Linked DNA regions of Anolis sagrei. Each later gene encodes a partner of the first gene's protein in a complex. Links are inferred from orthologs where the notes say so. Each region holds a gene or a part of one and is shown in the gene's direction. Other genes may lie near its edges.

What was found. Proteins that work in one complex are often made in the same cells at the same time.
Region 2: the proteins of TGFB1 (region 1) and TGFBR2 are in contact, whole or in part, in a cryo-EM structure (PDB 9FKP), measured with the Homo sapiens proteins. The link is inferred for Anolis sagrei from reciprocal best matches to the Homo sapiens genes TGFB1 and TGFBR2. Residues at the interface, in NP_000651.3 of Homo sapiens: Arg303, Lys309, Trp310, His312, Tyr368, Tyr369, Val370, Gly371, Arg372, Lys373; in NP_003233.4 of Homo sapiens: Phe47, Leu50, Phe53, Asp55, Ser72, Ile73, Thr74, Ser75, Ile76, Cys77, Glu78, Val100, Asp141, Glu142.

Annotation. Positions count from the first base shown.
Region 1 is NC_090034.1:98,782,130-98,792,829, reverse strand, and holds the start of TGFB1 (transforming growth factor beta-1 proprotein), read left to right. Parts: upstream 1-5,447; 5' UTR 5,448-6,221; coding exon 6,222-6,648; intron 6,649-10,700. UniProt on the Homo sapiens protein: Transforming growth factor beta-1 proprotein: Precursor of the Latency-associated peptide (LAP) and Transforming growth factor beta-1 (TGF-beta-1) chains, which constitute the regulatory and active subunit of TGF-beta-1, respectively.
Region 2 is NC_090026.1:82,524,609-82,535,308, reverse strand, and holds the start of TGFBR2 (TGF-beta receptor type-2), read left to right. Parts: upstream 1-3,649; 5' UTR 3,650-3,946; coding exon 3,947-4,022; intron 4,023-10,700. UniProt on the Homo sapiens protein: Transmembrane serine/threonine kinase forming with the TGF-beta type I serine/threonine kinase receptor, TGFBR1, the non-promiscuous receptor for the TGF-beta cytokines TGFB1, TGFB2 and TGFB3.

The DNA of each region.
Region 1 (10,700 bases):
CATAGCAACCTGGTGATTTCAGCCATGAAAGCCTTCAACAACACATAGGAACGTCTGCTTTTGGAGTTTTTAAAAACTATTTCTATAAGCAATGAGAATCAAGGAAGTCTGGCCCAGTAGCCACACAAATGTCTAGGAGACAAACTGTGGGTAGGATATAACTGTCCTTTGAGAGCTGGGTGTCCCGTGAAAGCGTCACGAATCTGTGGCCCAAAATGGGACCTGGCCGCATGTAATGCGACTTGGGTTCATTTTGGGTGTAACACAATGCCAGCTGTTCCGAAATAGCTTGGCGACGCCGCTGCCACGGCTGGAATTGCCCGCTTGCTTGGCATGCAGCGGGGCGACTCGAATCGGGAAGGGGTTGAATGTCAGACATATATACATGCCAAGGAGCCAGCAGCCCATTGGTATCTCCTTACAGGCAGAAGCTATGGAAATGAATCATAGATATTGGTGGAACTCGTGGAAGGAGGTGTCTTGGCTTCTGATGTAATATGATATCATTTCTCTTTTCCTTCTAAGGAGCTCAAGCTGTGGCAATGGAATCTCCAATTCTCGCTTGATCTTTACAACAACCCTGTAAAGTAGACTAGGCTGACAAATACCATCCTTGACATAAGTTTCACGGGCAATTCCCAGTCTTCAGCCTGTTCCAGTTTGGCATGGACAGCCCCAATTGATCCTCTGCCATCCAACTTTTAAAATGTCCCAGTTTCTGTTCCTTCCTTCCTTTGCCTTAAGCTGTATTCCAATTCCTGCAGCTTGTGTTCCAAGGGCAACAAGTAGCAAAGGAGGAGAGGGGAAATATTTCCCTTATTCAGCAGGATCAAGCAAAAGCAAACTGCTGCAGACTCTCCCAACTTTCTATTTTAACCATGTTTGGATGTTGCAAGGGGCTCTCTCATAGTGCAGCGGGTTAAACCACTTATCTGCTAAATTTGCTGGCTGAAAGGTTGGCAGTTCGAATCTGGGAAGTGGGGTGAGCTCCTGCTGTTAGCCCCAGCTTCTGCCAACCTAGCAGTTCAAAAACATGCAAATGTGAATAGATCAATATGTACCGCTTCTGTTGTCGAATGCAAGAAGATATTGGCGCACCATGCAGTCATGACTGCATGACCTTTATTTATTTATGACATTTATATTTTATTTTTATTTTTATTATTTAGTTCATGTACTTCTACCCCGCCCTTCTCAACCCCTGAGGGTTGACTCAGGGCGGCTTACAAAAAGGCACAATTCGATGCCTACACAGTAATACAAATAAGATATAGACAGCAATTAAAAACAGTTATAACAGTTAAGAACAATCAATATATATCACAGTCAATAAAAAGCAATCTTATGCTCAACGTTCGCAACTCAGAGTCCATAGCTTCATTCCACATTTTCCATTCCTATCAGTCATCATTGTCCTTTATTTATCTGCCAGATTGCCCAAACGCCTGGTCCCAAATCCATGTTTTTAATTTCCTTCTAAAGGAAAGGAGGGATGACGATGATCTAATTTCCCCAGGGAGTGAATTCCATAGGTGAGGGGCCACCACCGAGAAGGCCCTGCTCTTTGTCCCCGCCAATCTCACTTGTGATGAAGGCGGGGCTTGAGTCCCCCCCCCCCAAAGGAGACTCAGAGCGGCTTACAAGATATATATGCATACAATATATTAAGTTAGTAGCATAGTACAATATCAGTATTAAATATTACTATATTGTACTATACCATTATATTGTAATATTATTGGTAATATTACATGTAATATAAATATATAATTATAATATCATATTATTGTTATTGTTAGTAGTAGTAGTATTATATTGCATTACATTATAATATTATAAATATTTTATGGACAACACTGGCTTAGAAATGGAGATAAGCACCACTCCCCAGAGTCGAAAATGACTTGGCTTAATGTATTGTCGAAGGCTTTCATGGCCGGAATCACTGGGTTGTTGTAGGTTTTTTCAGGCTATATAGCCGTGTTCTAGAGGCATTTTCTCCTGACATTTCGCCTGCATCTATGGCAAACATCCTCAGAGGCAGTGAGGTCTTTTGGAACTAGGAAAGTGGGTTTATGTATCTGTGGAATGACCACGGTGGGGCAAAGAACTCTTATCTGTTGGAGCTAGGTGTGAATGTTTCAACTGACCACCTTGATTAGCATTTTATGGTCTGGCAGTGCCTGGGGCAATCTTTTGTTGAGAGGTGATTAGATGTGCCTGATTGTTTCCCCTCTGTTGTTTTGCTGTTGTAATTTTAGGGTTTTTTTTAGTACTGGTAGCCAGATTTTGTTCATTTTCATGGTTTCCTCCTTCCTGTTGAAATTGCCCACATGCTTGTGGATAGACTTAATGTCAGGGGAAACCTATACCTTTACTTCACCTTGGATGTTGCTTGGTTTTTACCTGTGAAATGTTAGATATATAACCAGCACACATTCTTATTTCTATATCAGTGTTTCTCAACTTGGAGGTCAGGACACCTGGGTGGGTCACGAGGGGTTTTCAGAGGGGTAACCAAAGACCATCAGAAAACACAGTATTTTCTGTTGGTCATGAGGGTTCTATGTGAGATGTTTTGCCCAATTTTATCATTGGTGGGGTTCAGAATGCTCTTTGATTGTAGGTGAACTATAAATCCCAGCCACTACAACTCCCAAATGTCAATGCCTGTTTTCCCCAAACTCCACCAGTGTTCACATTTGGGCATATTGAGTATCTGTGCCAAGTTTGGTCCAGATCCATCATTGTTCGAGTCCACAGTTGTAGGTGAACTACAACTCCAACTCCAAAACTCAAGGTCAATGCCCACCAAACCCTTTCAGTATTTTCTTTTGGTCATGGGAGTTCTATGTGCCAATTTTGGTTTAATTCCATCATTGCTGGAGTCCAAAATGTTATTTGACTGTAGGTGAACTATACATCCCAAATGACAAAATCAATCCCCCCCCCAAGCCTACCTGTATTCAAATTTGGGCATATTGTGTATTTGTGCCAAATTTGGTCCAATGAATAAAATGCATCCTGATATCAGATATTTACATTACAATGCATAACAATAGAAAAATTAGAGTTATGAAGTGGCAACATAATAATTTTATGGTTGGGGGTCCCCATAGCATAAGGAACTGTGCCATTAGGAAGGTTGAGAACCACTGATCTATATGATGTTGTAATTGCTTAGAATGGAATAGCATTTGGATATTTCTTTTGACCAAGGGTTTGTGAGACAGCAGTGAATGGGTCCTTGTTCTCTTAATGTCAGCTACTATCTGCAGAATATGGCCTAGCTTGACCAACTTCAGGCCATGTGTTTTGAATACACAAATACTATTCAGAATGGATCAGGAATAATAGTGATAGCGATGTATAGAGAGTCTGGGTGATATTGCACTTTTGAGTGGGAGATCTAGGGTGAAGGCAAAGGAAAACCCACTCAAAACACATCTTGCCAAGAAAACCCATAAGTCAGAAATGACTTGAAAGTATATGACAACGAAAGTATTAAAATGAGTGTGGTGTATTTTCAGGAAATGCAACTTGTAGGAAAAAACCCCACCTGGGTCCTCATTGTGACATGACCACAACAAAGCCATATCATGTGAGCTCAGGAAACATTCCCCCGGGGCTACTGACATGAGTCATGGGCAGAGGCGAAACTTGAATCCAGGCCTTCCAGCCTGAAGGTATTTCCCTTGACTTGAAGCAGGCGTTATCTAGTCCAGGAGCCCCTTCCTCAGCTGCCTGAGCACAGAAGCTGCCGCCGAGTTAGAAGAGCCACTGAAAGCGTTATCTAATCTCCTGTAATAAAAAAGATCCTTCTCAAAGCGAAAGCAGAGGCTGCGCCTGAGTTTGGCCCATCGCTTCTGCCTTGCGCTGAATCATTTTTTAAACAAAAGAGAAAGCAAAGAAGAGGAAGAGAGAAAAGTGAAGAGAAGAGTCAAGAAGACTTCCTAAGAGATAGTTCAGCAAAAAGGTAAAGAGAGATGAACAGAGCTGGAGAGGCTATGCATCGAAGAGAAGATGAAAGAAAGAGAAAAATCAAGCAAGCAAGCAAGATCTCTTGTGGGGAAATAGTTGGCTCAGCAATGAGGTGAAGAAAGGTGAATGGAGAGAGGAGGATATGGAAGGAAAAGAGAGAGAAAGAAAGAAAAGGAAGGAAGGAAAGAAGGAAGGGAAACACTTGAGGAAGAAGATCAGTTCTGAGAGAAAGAAAAAGGATGAATAGATGGATGGATGGATGGATGGATGGATGGATGGATGGAAGGAAGGAAGGAAGGAAAGAAAGAAAGAAAGAAAGAAAGGGAGAAGATTGGTTCTGAGAGAAACAAAAGGAAAGGAAAGGAAGGAAGGAAAACACTTGAGGGAGAAGACTGGTTCTGAGAGAAAGAAAAGGAAGGAAGGAAGGAAGGAAGGAAGGAAGGAAGGAAGGAAGGAAGGAAGGAAGGAAGGGATACTTGAGGGAGAAGATTGGTTCTGCGAGAAAGAAAAGAAAGGGAGGGAGGAAGAAAGGAAAAACAGTTGAGAGAGAAAATTGGTTCTGAGAGAAAGAAAAGGAAGGAAGGAAGAAAGGAAGGAAGGAAGGAAGGAAGGAAGGGATACTTGAGGGAGAAGATTGGTTCTGCGAGAAAGAAAAGAAAGGGAGGGAGGAAGAAAGGAAAAACAGTTGAGAGAGAAAATTGGTTCTGAGAGAAAGAAAAGGAAGGAAGGAAGAAAGGAAGGAAGGAAGGAAGGAAGGAAGGAAGGGATACTTGAGGGAGAAGATTGGTACTAAGAGAAAGAAAAGGAAGCAAGGAAGGATGGAAAGAAAGAACACTTAAGGGAGATGATTGGTACTAAGAGAAAGAAAAGGAAGGAAAGAAGGAAGACTTGAGGGAGAAGTGATTCTGAGAGAGCAAAGGAAAGAAGGAAGGAAGGACAGAAGGAAAGAAAGAACACTTGAGGGAGACAATTGGTTTGAGAGAGAAAAGGAAGGAAGGGAGGGAGGAAGGGAGGGAGGAAGGAAGAAAGAAAGACTTGAGGGAGAAGACTGGTTCATCATTGAGATGAATAAAGAGCAATAGACAGATGGAGGGACTATGCAGGGAAAAGAAGATGAGTGAATGAGAGAGAGAGAGAGAAAACAAAGAAAAAGACTTGCAAGTAGATAGTTCAGTAATTAGATAAAGAAAAATGAATGAAGAAATTGAGAGGCTGTGCAGAGGAAAGAAGACAACAGTGAGAGAAAGGGAATGAAAGAAACAAAAAGGAAAGAGAAACAAAACTTTCAGAGATATGGTTGATTCAACAATGAGGTGAGTAAAGATGTATGGAGAGATGGAGAGGCTGTGCAAGGAAAAGAAGGTAAGAGAAGAAAGAAAGAAAGAAAGAAAGAAAGAAAGAAAGAAAGAAAGGATAGGCAGGAAGAGCAGGCAGAAAGACAGGCCAGAGCCTTGCTGCTTTTGCCAGAGTCTCCCCTGGTGAAGAAGTTATATACAGCCCTGCTGACTCCCTCCTTCATTTCCTGGGTGGAGCTGGCGCTGGGGAGAGGAGAAAAAAACCCGCTTTAAAAACCTCCAAGCCCTCAGTCAGCAAGTCCCAACAGGAGTGGTAAAATTACAGCCTTTCCTGCCGAGGAAGAAAGAAGAGCCAGCTGGCTCTGGGGAGCGAAGAAGCGGCAGGAGGCAACAGCAGCAAAGCCAGAGCACAGCCGCCTGGAGGAACCTCCCGAATCTTGACCCTGGATTTGGCCCCAGTCCCCAAAGCAAGTGTGGTGCCTCATTCCTGGGAACTCAGGGCACCTCTTGTCTTGGGTAAAGCTGGAGCCCCTTGACTGGCTAAGAAAAGATCCTTTCTTGACTCAAACCAGAGAGACAAGGTGTGTTGGCCTTCTCTGGGAGATGGACATTTGGGCTGCGGCCGTGGTCTGGTGCCAAGGGTGAACCTGGGTACATCTAGCAGCCGGACACATGGACAGCCGAGGTGCCAAGGTGAGTTTCCTGTCACCTTTGAGAAAGTGCCACCCTGGATGGTTGATCCACTCCAAGTAGGAAGAAACTCTAGTGAGAAAAGAAAACTAGGATATATTTTGAAGGACTTCATGGCAAGTGGCACATTGGTAGGAAACAAGGTTCTTCTTCAGATGACAGAGGCTTAAAAAGAAGTGAGTAAACGTCAAGCAAAGTTTTGTTTTCTTTTTTCTCTTTGCCTTTTTGGGGGCCGAGCTAAAGAGCAGAAGTGAGATGGTGGGAGGAAGCATGAGGCAGTTGGTGCCAAGAGGCTGCGGCTGGCAGAGCGATGCCCGACGTGCCCCAGGGGCCCTTGGCATGCATCGGCGGGCCGTGGGCTGGCTTTTCCTCCTGCTCCTGGCCTTGGAGCACTTTTGCTCCGCTTTGGCCTTCTCCACCTGCAAAACCCTGGACATGGACATGATGAAGCGCAAGCGCATCGAAGCCATCCGAGGCCAGATCCTCAGCAAGCTCAAGCTCTCCAGCCCACCAGAGGTGGAAGACCCAGACTCCAGGGTCTTGTCCGATGAGATCATGGCGCTCTACAACAGCACCTTGGAGGTGATCCGGGAGCAGGTGGTCGAAGACCCCAAGGAGACATCTCAGGAGGAGTATTACGCCAAGGAGATCCACAGGTTCAACATGCTGCCTCTAAACCACGGTGAGGCCTGGGCTGGGGCTGGGAGGAGAGGAAGTGGGGTCCATGCGTTACAGAAGACCTAGTAGTAGTTATTTGCTGATCTTTCTCTCCGGTGGCAGGAAATGGACACATTTTGCTAGGCTTCCACATTCGGAGAGATTGGAAAAGGTACTTTAGGACTACAAAACCCACACTTGGCTCTGACAGTTGTGTGGACTTTATGGGGTTGTAATCCAAAAAGTAATATCCAGAAAGCAACACCTTTCTGGATAGGAGGGCATAAACTATTTAGTTTTTGAAGCTCAGGAGGATTGGGTTAAAAAGTTAATAAAGTATTCCCAGGTCAGGCTACTAGAAGATGTCATGGACCTCAGGTCATTGGACCTCAGCACACCTCATATTTTGAGCTGGAATAGAGTAATTAAACTGTGATACATGGGCTGGAAAAGACACTTGTTGTGACCTTAAGTGAAAAACTTTCTGGTGTTTCCTAAGTTTCTTGGCCTTGTTTATTTTCCCCATCTGTAAAATGGGAACATTGACTCTTAGGGATTTGCAAGGGATGGAAGTCGAAAGGCAGTGCCTGTTATCTGCACGATGGAAAGTTTCAGATATTTTCTTTGTAAACATTGGGAAAGCAATAGATACAGCCGAGGACAGTGAGGTGGAGAAGGAAAAGCAATGTGGGGTTACCTTGTTTCTTTGTTACCTACTAACACAAACTGAAGTTAGGGAAAACAAACTAGCCCGAACACTTATATTGGGTGATTTTATGCTTTATCCTAGTACATGGATGTTTATTTAGAATCATAGCATCATAGAGTTGGAAGAGACCTCATGGGCTATCTAGTACAACCCCTTTCTGCCAAGAAGCAGAAAAACAAATTCTAAGTCTAAATGCTCTAAAGTAGTGTTTCTCAACCTGGGAGTTGGGACTGCTGAAGGGGTCGCAAGGGGGTGTCAGAGGGGCCACCTAAGATCATCAGAAAACACAGTATTTTCTGTTGGTCATGGGGGTTCTGTGTGGAAAGTTTGGCCCAATCCTATCGTTGGTGGAGTTCACAATACTCTTTGATTCTAAGTGAACTATAAATCCCAACAGCTACAACTCCCAGATGTCAAGGTCTATTTTGTCGAAACTCCACCAGTGTTCACATTGGGGCATATTGAGTATTCGTGCCAAGTTTGGTCCAGATCCATCATTGTTCTAGTCCTCAGTGCTCTTTGGGTGTAGGTGAACTCAAGATCGATGAATACTAGATGGGTTGGGGAGGGGATTGATTTTGTTCACCTACACCCAAAACTCAAGATCGATGCCCATCAAACTCTTCCAATGTTTTCTGTTGGTCATGAGAGTTCTGTGTGCCAAGTTTGGTTCAATCCCATCATTAGTGGAGTGCAGAATGCTCTTTGATTGTAGGTGAATTATGAATCCCAGCAACTACAACTCCCAAATGACAAAATCAACCGACCCCCCCCCCCAAAAAAAAAAACTCCACCAGTATTCAAATATAGGTGTACTGGGTATTTGTGCCAAATTTTGTCCAGTGATCTGTGTGCCAAGTTCGGTCAATTCCATCAATGTCAGAGTTCAGAATGCTCAGGTTGTAAGTGAACTATAAGTCCCAGCAACTACAACTCCCAAATGACAAAATTAACCCCCCCCCCCAACCCTATGGGGTATTTGTGCCAAATTTGGTTCAGTGAATGAAAATCCATCTTGCATATCAGATATTTACATGATGAATCATAACAGGAGCAAAATGACAGTTGTGAAGTGGCAACAAAAATAATGTTATGGTTGGGGGTCGCCACCAAATGAGGAACTGTATTAAGGGGTCGCGGCATTAGGAAGTTTTGAGAAACAATGCTCTAAAGGCACTATATCTTGCTGATTTTGGAAGCTAAGCAGGGGCAGCCCTGGTTAGTACTTGGGTGGGATGCCATCAGTGAACACCAGGATTTTTGTGTGTGTCAGGAATCATCGAATCATAGAATTGTAGAGTTGGAAGAGACCTCGTAGGCCATCCAGTCCAACCCCATTCTGCCAAGGAGCAGGAAAATTGCATTCAAAGCACCACCAACAGATGGCCATCCAGCCTCTGTTTAAAAGCCTCCAAAGAAGTAGACTCCACCACACTCCTGGGCAGAGAGTTCCACTGCTGAACAGCTTTCATAGTAAGGAAGTTCTTCCTAATGTTCAGGTGGAATCTCCTTTCTTGTAGTTTGAAGACATTGTTCCGTGTGACTTGAGAAATTGCAAGGAGTGACTTGAGAAACTGCAAGTCACTTCTGGTATGAGAGAATTGGCTGTCTGCAAGAACGTTGCCCAGGAGACACTTGGATGTTTTATCATCCTGTAGGAGGGATCTCTCATGTCTCTCTATGAGAAGATGGAGCTGACAGACAGGAACTCATCCCACTCCCTGGATTCGAACTGCCGATCTTTTGGTCAGCAGTCCTGCCAGTACAAGGGTTTAATCCATTTTGCCACCTCCAAATGCTGGAGGCTCTATTTCAGAACTGGCAAAACAAAACCCTATGAAATTCTTGGGTTTGCTGTAAACCGACAGTCCTATATGACTTTTACTTACTTACTTAGGCAATCCCTTGTGGTCCGAGGATGATGTCCTCCAAGTGTAGTATACTGACGGGCCTATATATACACAAAGGCCTATATATACACAAAGCCTATATATACACAAAGCATTTCAGGATTCCCTATCAATGCCTCAAGGCAAAAAAGAATTGTCACCTTTTTATAATCTGGCCTGACAGCTCTGCCTTTCACAGGATCCCGACAAGCAAAAGATTTAACAGACAAAGGCTTCTTTTGAGAAGGAGAGAAAGTGATAGGAAGAAGCTTAAGCTGTCACATTTTCTGTCTGTTAGGATGCAGTTAAAAGCTCCGGCTCAGGGCCAGCTGCAAACCTGCAAACTATCATTTCAACCAGAGTTGTGATGTCTTGCATGATACCCTTTGAACTGAAAACGAATGGGATGTGTGACACCTTTTATAAAAATACAACCAATAAATTGCTGGCACTCTGGAACTTGGCAACTGTTTACCATTCCCATAAGGACACGGCATGGTGTTTCCATTTGTTTTGCTCCAAAACGTTGTCCCGTAAGCAAAGTACAGGAAAAACATGGCCTGGCAAGACCTGAGGCTTCCTGCCTTTTCAGCTGACAGTTTTGGCTGCTGGAAGGAACACGCTTTTACTAGCAGAAGCGGTGCGGTTCTGGCCGGGAAGAGTCACGCAGGGTGCAGCGCATGCTTTGCTTCCCATGGCACCAGATTCAGGCTTCAATTAAAGAATGACAGGTATTGAAAAGTTTGAAAAGACCCAGCATGGAATTCTAGGCAGATGCAAGCAATATGTTTTGCTATGTGGGCAACTCTTGACCAAGAAGGACTCATAAATTGACTGAAGCTGGAAAGCAGTGTTTATTATCTTATTCTCCAGGACTATTCTTCATTTAAGGTTTTGCAATCCCTCTTTAATCCCCGAAACTTGGTAATGGAGTGGGGGAGAGAGGGAAGCAACACGCTGCAGACTTCCACATCACATCTCTTTTGTTTTGGCAGAGACAGTTCCAACAACAACTCAGTCGTACCACTTTTTCAGCTGCCCTTTAATAGGCCCCTACACTGTAAAAATAATCCAGTTTGACACCACATTAACTGACATAGAATCATAGAATCATAGAATCAAAGAGTTGGAAGAGACCTCATGGACCATCCAGTCCAAACCCCATTCTGCCAAGAAGCAGGAATATTGCATTCAAATCACCCCTGACAGAAGGCCATCCAGCCTCTGTTTAAAAGCTTCCAAATAAGGAACCTCCACCACACTCCGGGGCAGAGAGTTCCACTGCTGAACGGCTCTCAGAGTCAGGAAGTTCTTCCTCATGTTCAGATGGAATCTCCTTTCTTGTAGTTTGAAGCCATTGTTCCGCGTCCTAGTCTCCAGGGAAGCAGAAAACAAGCTTTCTCCCTCCTCCCTGTGGCTTCCTCTCACATATTTATACATGGCTATCATATCTCCTCTCAGCCTTCTCTTCTTCAGGCT
Region 2 (10,700 bases), on another chromosome or scaffold:
GTTGGCAAGCAACAGCTCAACAAGCACCAACATGATGACCACCTCATTTTGAATTAGCTTCTTCCTTTGGACTATCAAAGACAACTTCATGCAAAGGGCATTACAGTTGTGGTTAAGAAAGTTGATCACAAGTTTGAAAGCATTTTTGTTCGCTATCACCATGACAATCTTGAGATTCAAAACCCTATATACTCATGCATATATAAAGAAACTTTAATTGAAAATATGACTCAGGGTGCATTAATTCTACATTGCAGAATTAATGCAGCTTGTCTGGAGCATGGGGCTAGGCCAATTCTATTTCCACTTGCTTTCTGCTCATTTATTATGCATTTAGATCCTAAAATATGAAGAAAATTAGTACCTTTCAGGAACTCTAGCACAAATGCATCATTAAAACTAATCATGAAGATAACAAAATTTGGTTTATATATTCCGAGAAACTGAAAACGATGCCATAGTTGCCTCTATATGAAGGATGATTATGGGCAACAGATGTTCTAATTTAATTATGACTGGGAAACAAGCAAAATGTGGTGTACATTTCTGACAGTTTGAAATCAGACTTTTACAGAAACTTTTCTGCGTGTAACTTTCCGTAAATGCCTTTGCTTGAGGCTGAACATTTTTGCACTAATATAAACAGATGAATGAATTCCTCAGAACAAGTAAAAACTAGCAGAAATGGTTCAGCAACAGGAAAAAAGAAAGCAAAACGCTCTGAAATTCAAAACAGTAGTACAATTTGTTGCTCATTAGCACCATGCAAAAGTATTTTGTTGTATTTCAGGAATGGTGGACATTGTTATATTACAATTCCTATCATTCTTTACCTTTTTACTGTGCTGGCTAGAGCTAATGGGAGTCATAGTCCAACAAAGTTTAGAAAACAGGTTTCTAACTCTTCATGTATTTATCTCACTCCGATTTTTGCACCAGGAGGCAGAAAACATGTTCTGCGTAATACATTTTGCAGACATGACAGTATACTGATTATATCTCAGCAGGCATGACGAAATTCAGAACTGTGTAAATGTAAGAAACCTTAGATTTGCAGCTAAATGCAGCTTTTAATGGGTGAATTATATGGCTAAGAATCACACATCAATACTGTTTGACCTTGTAAAACTACAACTCATGATTCTATAGCATTAAGCTAGATCAGTATTTCTCAACCTGGGGGTCACAAGGGGGTTTTAGTGGGTCACCAAAGACCATCAGAAAACATATATTTCTGATGGCCTTAGGAACCCCTTTAGCAGAGAAGGCCGAAGATCTCTCTGCCTGTCCTTCCCTTTCTTTTTGGAAACAGACGGCAAATCTTCCCACCAAAAGCTCTCCTGTGCTGTGATTGGCCGACCTCTCAGCCAAGGGGAGGGCTGTTTCTGAGACACCAAGCAGGGGAGGGGAGAGCAGGCATGTTCGGCACATAGCAGAATGGTGCGCATGTGCGTGTGAGGTTGGAGGGAGGCTTGGGCCACAGGTTGAGAACCACTGTTCTATACATAAACACACATATGCACACTGGTAGGCCTGGAGGGCCAAAGTTTGCTCATGCCTGATCTATAGGCATGTATCTGTCTGTGCGTATAACTTTGTGTGTATGTATGTGTATGTGCTTGTCTGTGTGTATAAGTATGTATGTGAGTGTATGTACATGTCTGTGGTTTACTTGTGTGTATGTATGTGAGTGTATGTGCCTGTCTGTATGCATAAGTTTGTGTGTATGCATGAGAGTGTATGCACCTGTCTATGTGTATGTGAATGTATGTGCCTGTTTGTGTGTATAAGTTTGTGTGTATGTATGTGCGTGTCTGTGTGTATAAGTTTGTGTGTTGGTATGTGAGTGTATGTGCCAGTTTGTGTGTATGTATATATGTGCCTGTTTGTGTATATGTATACGAGTGTATGTGCCTGTAAGTGTGTATAAGTTTGTGTGTATGTATGTGAGCGTATGTGCCTGTCTGTGTGTATAAGTTTGTGTGTACATATGCAAGTGTATGTGCCTGTAAGTGTGTATAAGTTTGTGTGTATGTATGTGAGCGTATGTGCCTGTCTGTGTGTATAAGTTTGTGTGTACATATGTGAGTGTATGTGCCTGTGTGTATAAGTTTGTGTGTATGTATGTGAGTGTATGTGCCTGCTTGTGTGTATGTATGCGAGTGTATGTGCCTGTAAGTGTGTATAAGTTTGTGTGTATGTATGTGAGCGTATGTGCCTGTCTGTGTGTATAAGTTTGTGTGTACATATGTGAGTGTATGTGCCTGTGTGTATAAGTTTGTGTGTATGTATGTGAGTGTATGTGCCTGCTTGTGTGTATGTATGCGAGTGTATGTGCCTGTAAGTGTGTATAAATTTGTGTGTATGTATGTGAGTGTATGTGCCTGTCTGTGTGTATAGGTTTGTGTGTATGTGCCTGCTTGTGTGTATGTCTACGAGTGTATGTGCCTGTAAGTGTGTATAAGTGTGTGTGTATGTATGTGAGTGTATGTGCTTGTCTTTGAGTATAAGTTTGTGTGTATGTATGTGAGTGTATGTGCCCGTTTGTGTGTATGTGTGTGCCTGTAAGTATGTGTAGGTTTGTGTGTATATATGTATGTGAGTGTATGTGCCTGTCTGTGTGTATAAGTTTGTGTGTATGTATGTGAGTGTATGTGCCTGCCTGTGTGTATAAGTTGTGTGTATGTATGTGAGTGTATGCACCTGTCTGTGTGTATGTATGCGAGTGTATGTGCCTGTTTGTGTGTAAGTATATGAATGCATGTGCTTGTCTGTGTGTATAGGTTTGTGTGTATGTATGTGAGTGTATGTGCCTGTTTGTGCGTATGTATGCGAGTGTATATGCCTGTCTGTGTGTATAAGTTTGTGTGTATGTATGTGAATATATGTGCCTGTTTGTGTGCATGTGAGTGTATGTGCCTGTTTGTGTGTATGCATGTGACTGTATGTGCCTCTCTGTGTGTATAAGTTTGTGTGTATGTATGTGCGTGTCTGTGTGTATACGTTTGTTTGTATGTATGTGAGTATATGTGCCTGTTTGTGTGCATGTGAGTGTATGTGCCTGTTTGTGTGTAAGCATGTGACTGTATGTGCCTCTCTGTGTGTATAAGTTTGTGTGTATGTATGTGCGTGTCTGTGTGTATACGTTTGTGTGTATGCATGTGAATGTATATGCCTTTATGTGTGTATAAGTTTGTGTGTATGCACGTGAGTGTATGCGCCTGTCTGTGTGTATAAGTTTGTGAGTATGTACATGAGTGTCTGCACCAATCTGTGTTTATGTATTTGAGTGTATGCGCCTGTCTGTTAGGAATTGTGGAAGCTGAAGTCTAAAACACTGGAGGGCCGAAGTTTGCCCATGCCTCATCTATAGGCATGTGCTTGTCTGTGTGTATAAGTTTGTGTGCGTGTATGTGCGTATATAAGTTTGTGTGTACATATGTGAGTATATGCGCCTGTCTGCGAGTATGTTTGTGTGTATACATGTGCGTGTATGCGCTTGTCTGGGTGTATAAGTTTGTGTTTGTGTGTCTGCATGTGTGTAGAAGTGTGCGTGCGTGCGGTGTGTGCCTGTCAGGGCGCGCTGGGGCGAAGCGGTTCCAGAGGAGAAGGAGGAGGAGGAGGAGGGCGGGCCAGCGGAGAAGGAACTCCAGCCAGAGTGAAGAAAGTCCTGCCCAGCTGTTTGCGAACTTCGAAGGTTTCCTGTTTCCCCTGCAGGCAGGCAGGCAGGCAAGCAAGCAGGCCGGGCTGCAGCGAGCGGAGGGGCGTGAGTCACAGAGGCACGCACTCCCAGCAGCAGCAGCAGCCGCCCAGCCGCCCATCCGCCTCTGCTCCTTCGGCTGCCTCTGGCGGGGCCTCCTCGGCTGGCTGTGGTTCCCCCTGGAGCCCCCAAAGAAGCCCTGGCCGCCTCCCCCCCGCGCGCGGGCGCCCAAGGCACGGATGTACCATGAGCTGGCTTGCCAAGCTCGCTTTGGTGTGGACTCTGCTGCACATCGCCACGCCCGCGCTGGCCCGGGCCACAGGTAAAGCTCGCACCAGAGGTTTCCCCCTCTTGCGTTCCAGCAACGCTCCTGAGAGAGAGAGAGAGAGAGAGAGAGAGAGAGAGCCACAGCTTTGGAGATGGTCAGGAGCTCCCTTGGGTTGCCTCAGGGCCACTTCCTCTCCCGCTTCAGCGCTTGGGAAAGTTCAGAGGAACTTTTCTGTCCGGTTCTTCTCCCCTATATTTCTCTTTGTATCCAGAAGGAAACCTCTCCCTTACTAGGAGGGGAAAGGGTGGCCTTAGAAGCGGCTGAGGGGGAAAAGGAAGGGGGCTGAGGCTGTTAGGAATGGTGGGAGTTGGAGTCCAAAACACCTGGAGGGCCCAAGTTTGTCCATGCCTGCCTTAAGTGATCATTTTCTCTCAGCTTGGCCCCAAAAGGAGCCACTCTTGGCTCTATTTGCCAGGAATAGAAGGTTATTCCAAAGAAATAAGGGTTACAGTGCCTTTAGGACTGTGGTTCCCAATTTTCCGACCGCCACGACCCCTTAATACAGTTCCTCATGTTGTGGTGACCCCCCCCCCCCCAACCATAACATTATTTTCGTTGCTACTTAATAACTGTAATTTGCTACTGTTATGAATCATCATGTAAATATCTGATATGCAGATGTGTTTTTGTTCACTGGACCAGATTTGGCACAAATACCCCATACATTTGAATGCTGGTGGGGTTCAGGGAGAGGGCTGATTTTGTCATTTGGGAGTTGTAGTTGCTGGGATTTATAGTTGACGTACAATCGAAGAGCATTCTGAACTCCACCAAGGATGGAATTAAACCAAACTTGACCAACAGAAAATACTAGAAGGGTTTGGTGGGCATTGACCTTCAGTTTTGGAGTTGTAGTTCACCTACATTCAGAGAACACTGTGAACCCAAACAGTGATGGATCTGGACCAAACTTGGCACGAATCTATATAAATAAAATGTAATGTTAGTTTGTGGGATTGACATAACTCAAAAACCACTGGACGAGTTGACACCAAATTTGGACACAAGACACCTATCAGGCCAACGAGTGACCATCACTCATAAAAGCAAAAATAAAGAAAAAACACACAGCAGAAAGGACTTAAAAAGCCAAAAAACAAAAAAAATAACATTACAACACATGCGCAAAACCACATATATACACACACATATATACACATATACACAAATACACACACACACATACACATATATACACACACAAAACACATATACAGAGACTGGGACACAGCAGCACACGTGGCAGGGGATGGATAGTACTCAATATGCCCAAAGGTGAACACTAGTGGAGTTTGGGGAAAATAGACCTTGACATTTGGGAGTTGTAGTTGCTGAGATTTATAGTTCACCTACAATCAAAGGGCATTCTGGACCCCATGAACAATAGAATTGGGCCAAATTTCCCATATAGTACCCCCCCCCCCATGACCAACAGCAAATACTGTGTTTTGCAAGCCCCTCTGAAACCCTCTTGTGACCCCCCCCCCAGGGGTCCCAACACGCAGGTTGAGAAACACTGGCATAGGGGAACTATATCTTGTTTGCTGCTTTTTCAGCTGTGGGTCCTCACCCCAAATAGCGTCCCTTTCGCTTAATAAAATTGGTAACAGTCCAAGGTATGCTGCCTATTTATATAAATCTGTTGGCGGGGGGGGGGGGGGAGTTTAAAATCTGGTTTACTCATGAATTTTAACTGGTTAACAAATTCTTGGGTAACTAGGTTTTCTTAATCCCCCCCCCCCCCTGGTTCCAGACCTGGTTAGCAGTAATATGCAGCGTTTACTGTGGACTCTGCAGTAAATGCTTCACAGCTGTACTGCACAAAAAGGGAAAACCAACCTGTTTAGCAATCCTTCATTTGTTCCCAGTAAGTATTTGATTTTTATACAAGTATGTACCTAGGACCAAAAGGGGTTGCGAGTGAAAGAAGTTTAAGAAGTCCTTCTGCAGCTGACAAGTTTGGAGTGCAATGCTTCACATTAGGGAACTATATTCTGAGATGGTATATTGGGGGCACAGTCCCTTAGAATAGTAAAGGTAAAGGTTTCCCCTTGGCATTAAGTCTAGTTGTGTCCTACTCTGGAGAGTGGTGCTTATCTCAATTTCTATATAGTAGTGTAGTAGTAATAGTAGTAGTGGTAGTAGTAGTAGTAGTAAATTTTATTGATTAGCCCTTAGGCCATTTCACAATACCAAACCAAACAAAAAGGCTTGATAAAACTTGATTTCACTCTGTATAGCAAGTTAAGTAAATCACTTATAACAATATACTAAATAAATATGATAAAACTGAATATATACATAATGTTTCCATTTCTAAGCCGAAGAACTGTTGTCGTCTGTATACGCCTTCAAGAACATGTGGCCTGCATGACTGCAGGGAGCGCCGTTAGCTTTCTGCCTGAGGAGTTCCTATTAATCTACTCACATTTGCATGCTTTCAAATTGCTAGGTTGGCAGAAGCTGGGGCTTCTGCCAGATTCGAATCGCTGACCTTTCGGTCAGCATGTTCAACAGCTTAGCGCTTTAACCCACTGTGCCACCAGGGGCTCCATAGCATAGGACAACTATATCCTGTAGTTGATAAGTTGGGAGTCCAGTGCCTTAGAATAGTGGGACTGTATCTTGTAGTTGACAAGATTTCTTTTATTATAGATTTTTTTCTGTGTCAGCAGCAACTTGAGAAACTGCAAGTCGCTTCTGGTGTGAGAGAATTGGTCATCTGCAAGGACGTTGCCCAGGTGTCGTCTGAATGTTTTACCATCCTGTGGGAGGCTTCTCTCCTATCTCTGCATGAGAAGCTGGAACTGACAGATGGGAGTTCACCATGCTCCCCAGATTCAAACCTCTGACCTTTCAGTCAACAGTCCTGCTGGCACAAGGGTTTAACCTACTGCGTCACCGGGGGGCAATAAGTACTGTGACTTAAGATAAAAGAACTCTATTACGTGCTGATCCCTCCCACATCAAAATAGTTGGGGTCAGAATTTCAAAATGTTCCCCCTTTTCCCCCTAACAAAAAACTTTTTTTCTGTTACAAAACCTAGTTAAATAAATTGCTTTGCTCGGTCACTGCTACATATTGTAAAATTACAGGAAATTGACTGGGAAACCAAAGGAACGGAGTGCGTGTATGGTGACAGGTTTGTGGAAAACAGTAGGGGCAGCAATTTTTAAGAGTATGATGGTAAACACACATAGATGGATGTATGGGTTGTTTCATATGATAGTAAATGTTTGGATTTCAAATGTCTCAGGATTTTCCGTCTTCTTATTTTTGCTTTTTGTCTTGCTCATGTGTGGATTTTTCTCTGCCCGCTTTTCAACTTGCTTTGATACAAGCATGTTACAAAGAGATAAGTGAAGTAGAAACTAGACTTTCCATTGCTTTAAAAATGCCCTAGTTGTGAATTCCAGTGAGGCAATCTGGTCATATGATTACAGTCTTTAAACTTCCTTAAAGTTAACCAACGACTTCAGAACTTTCACTGTAATTATATTGTCATATTGAGGTCCTGGCGCATTACTCATCCGTTCTGTTGTTGTTGTTGTTGTTGTTATACTCCACTTTCCTCTCTTCATCCAGACTCAAAAGCAGCTCACAACAGTAAAACAATACAATTTAAGAATTAAAATAGAATTAAACATGGAGATATTTCAAACCTACTGTCTGCTTAATGGGTATGGCCAATATTGTACTAGGGGTCACAATTTGAAAAATGGGACACTATATAAATAGCAGAGGTGGAATTTTGTCAGCGTAGCCAATGATGAGGAATGCTGGGAGATGCAACCCAACATCTGGAGAGCCACAAAGTTCCCACTGCTGCTCTACAACAAGGATAGTTCATGCATACAATCAAGATGTTCAACTTCCCTTTCATTGTTGGTTATGCTGGCTCCTTGGGTTGCCATTTAATCACATTCGGAGGACCATGTGACCCACATTTTGGGCTCTAGATGCATAACCTGAAATGGCATCAGGGGCCCAGAAACTTTATGCTTGTTAATGAGCCACTACTCTTTATGTTTTGTGGCCTTTTATATTGGAATCTCCTTCCTAAAATACCTATGTGCACCCCTGTTTTCTCCTCAAAGTGTGTTTGAAAAGTATAGAAGTGCAGGTATGATGATTTCATTACACTTAACTTCTCCCTTTTAAAAGCAATGCTTTTAAAGAATCCTCCACCTTGTGCAACTGTGGAGCAAAACAAACAGCTCCACATCTGTATGCTTATCCGCAATGTCCTGCCTCATGTAAAGAGAAACAATTGTTTAAAGCTACAGACAATTTAGTCGCTGTTGCCCGTTTTTGGTAAAAAAAAAAAAAGTTGCTTGTGCTCCTTCTATTTTTATCAGTTTTATACTTATTTGTGCAGTGCTTTTGATACAAAATACATAAATAACATGTTTTTCTTTTTGCCTTCCCTTGGTAGAAAATCTATGGGAGGTGATTTTTTAATCATTATGCTAATTTTGCAAACTACATGAAGAATGCTATGTACTGTCATGTGAGTTGACAGTAAAACTGTAGAAATAGTACTGTTCACTGACAAATAATTTTTATTATTTATTTCCTACATTTATACAGTTTGCAATCCTGTATAAGCATAGTGTTGGAAAATACATGTATTCATTTTATACATATAAATTTATGTATTATCATACAAATTACTTACTTGCATTAAACAATCTATCAAGGGTATTTTTGTTTCTGATTTTCTAATTATTTTATGTGTTTTACACCAGAAAGCAAATTGGACCTATATTTTAGTTGTACAGTATTGGTGTCTTTGAAATATTGGCCCTCCCAATTATTCCATATATTAATGCCTACAACATATTAATGAGGGCAATGGAACTGTGATTATTTTAGTGACTTGGAGATATTTAAAGTATAGTCAAGACAGATAGGAAAGAATACGCACAGGAGTTTTGCCATTGTGTTCTCAGATATTTGTCAAATGACTTGCTATGTGAGTCTTAGTATTAGCAGAAACAAGACAAAACCAGAAAGTAATGAACAGATTGTTGCATGCATACTAGAAACTTTCCCAGGCCACTTTCGAATGCAATATCTCCTAAAAAGATGATCCTCGAAGTCAGGGAAGTAGGAGTCAAGGCAACATTAGTACTTCTGTTCCCATCTGCCTGAAAACTAGCATGATTGATAAATATGATGACGGAATAATAATAAACTCCCTAGAATTTGTCTCTGGGTTTTTATTCGCAGCAGACAGAATAAGTGACATGGAAATACTTTCACTGTGATTTAGGGCCCTTTCACATAGGCATATAAACCGGAATATCAAGGCAGGAAATCCCACAATATCTACTTTGAACTGGAACATATGGCAGTGTGGACTCAGACAACCCAGTTCAAAGCAGATATTGTGAGATTTCCTGTTTTGATATTCTGGGTTATATGGCAGTGTGGAAGAGCCCTTAGAACAAGTTTGATTCACATGCCATTTGCACATATACTTTCTTCTCTACTCATCCTCCCTGCTTGCTTTCTTTATATCTTAAGTTTCAAATAAATTGTACCAAAAAAAGATAAAGCAGGTGAAATAGTTTTGCTGAGGAATGAGATTGAAAGCAACCAGCATTTTAATCCTTTTAAAAAGTGGTGTAGAAGTATTCAGGTATATGTTGCAACTGCACTGAAAAACATTTGAAAGCTGAGATATTATATTTCTTAGGATTATTTTTGTAAGGTGCACACAATTATAGAAAGCTAGTTTGGATAATGATATGACAAAACTTAACATGGGAAGGTTCATCTATTTGGCATATGTATGCAAAAGCCTACTAATAAACCTACTTGGAATATTAAATGGACAGTGTCCAAGGAAAATACATTGTGTAACACCCTCCTCAGCCATAATTGTTCATATTGCAATATAGATGCTTTTTAAGTGAGCCAGTATAAAAGGTACATATTAATTCATAAGGGTTGTTTTTATATACTTTAATGCTTATATGAAAGTTTGGTATGCAGCACAGCTATGATTCACTTCTTTGTGCGTGTGTGTGGAAATTACAGAGTAAAAGCAATCCAATGTAGGGAATTTTAATCTGCAAACAGACTGACTCTCCACTAGAATCCCTTGTTTTCCTGCAATTGTTAGAGTTTTTGTAACTGCAGATTTAGCTACCCAGCTGCCCCCATAGTAACACAGTTTGTCTTCAAGAGAACAACTATCAGCAGCAGAAGAGAAGGACCTGTTGAGTTTGGAATTTGTTCATGCTTTGACTTGTTGATGTGCCGTCGAGTCTTTCCTTTTTCTTATTACCTTTTCCTCTTTCTAAGACCTCAAAGTGGCACGTAAACAAGATAAGTGTTCCCCTTTCAACAATGAACCAGAATTATGAACGCCCAAAGTTCAGAAATAATATAAACAAGAGGAGTGGGATAGAGGCATTCCAGGCTGCCATTGAATGAAGCATATGTTGGTGGCTTTCTAGCCAACCATCGGTCAACAGGCAAACTTCAGTCAATAATGCCTTCCATGTTGCAGGACTTCATACTACACTTTGATACTTGGGTCTATTTAGAATACAACCGCTAGGCTAACATGCTTGCTTCTTGTTATATTTACCTTTTCTTATTTAAGCTCTAATGAACATACATCTAAGGCCAAACACATTTGAAGAAGAGAGAGGGAGACC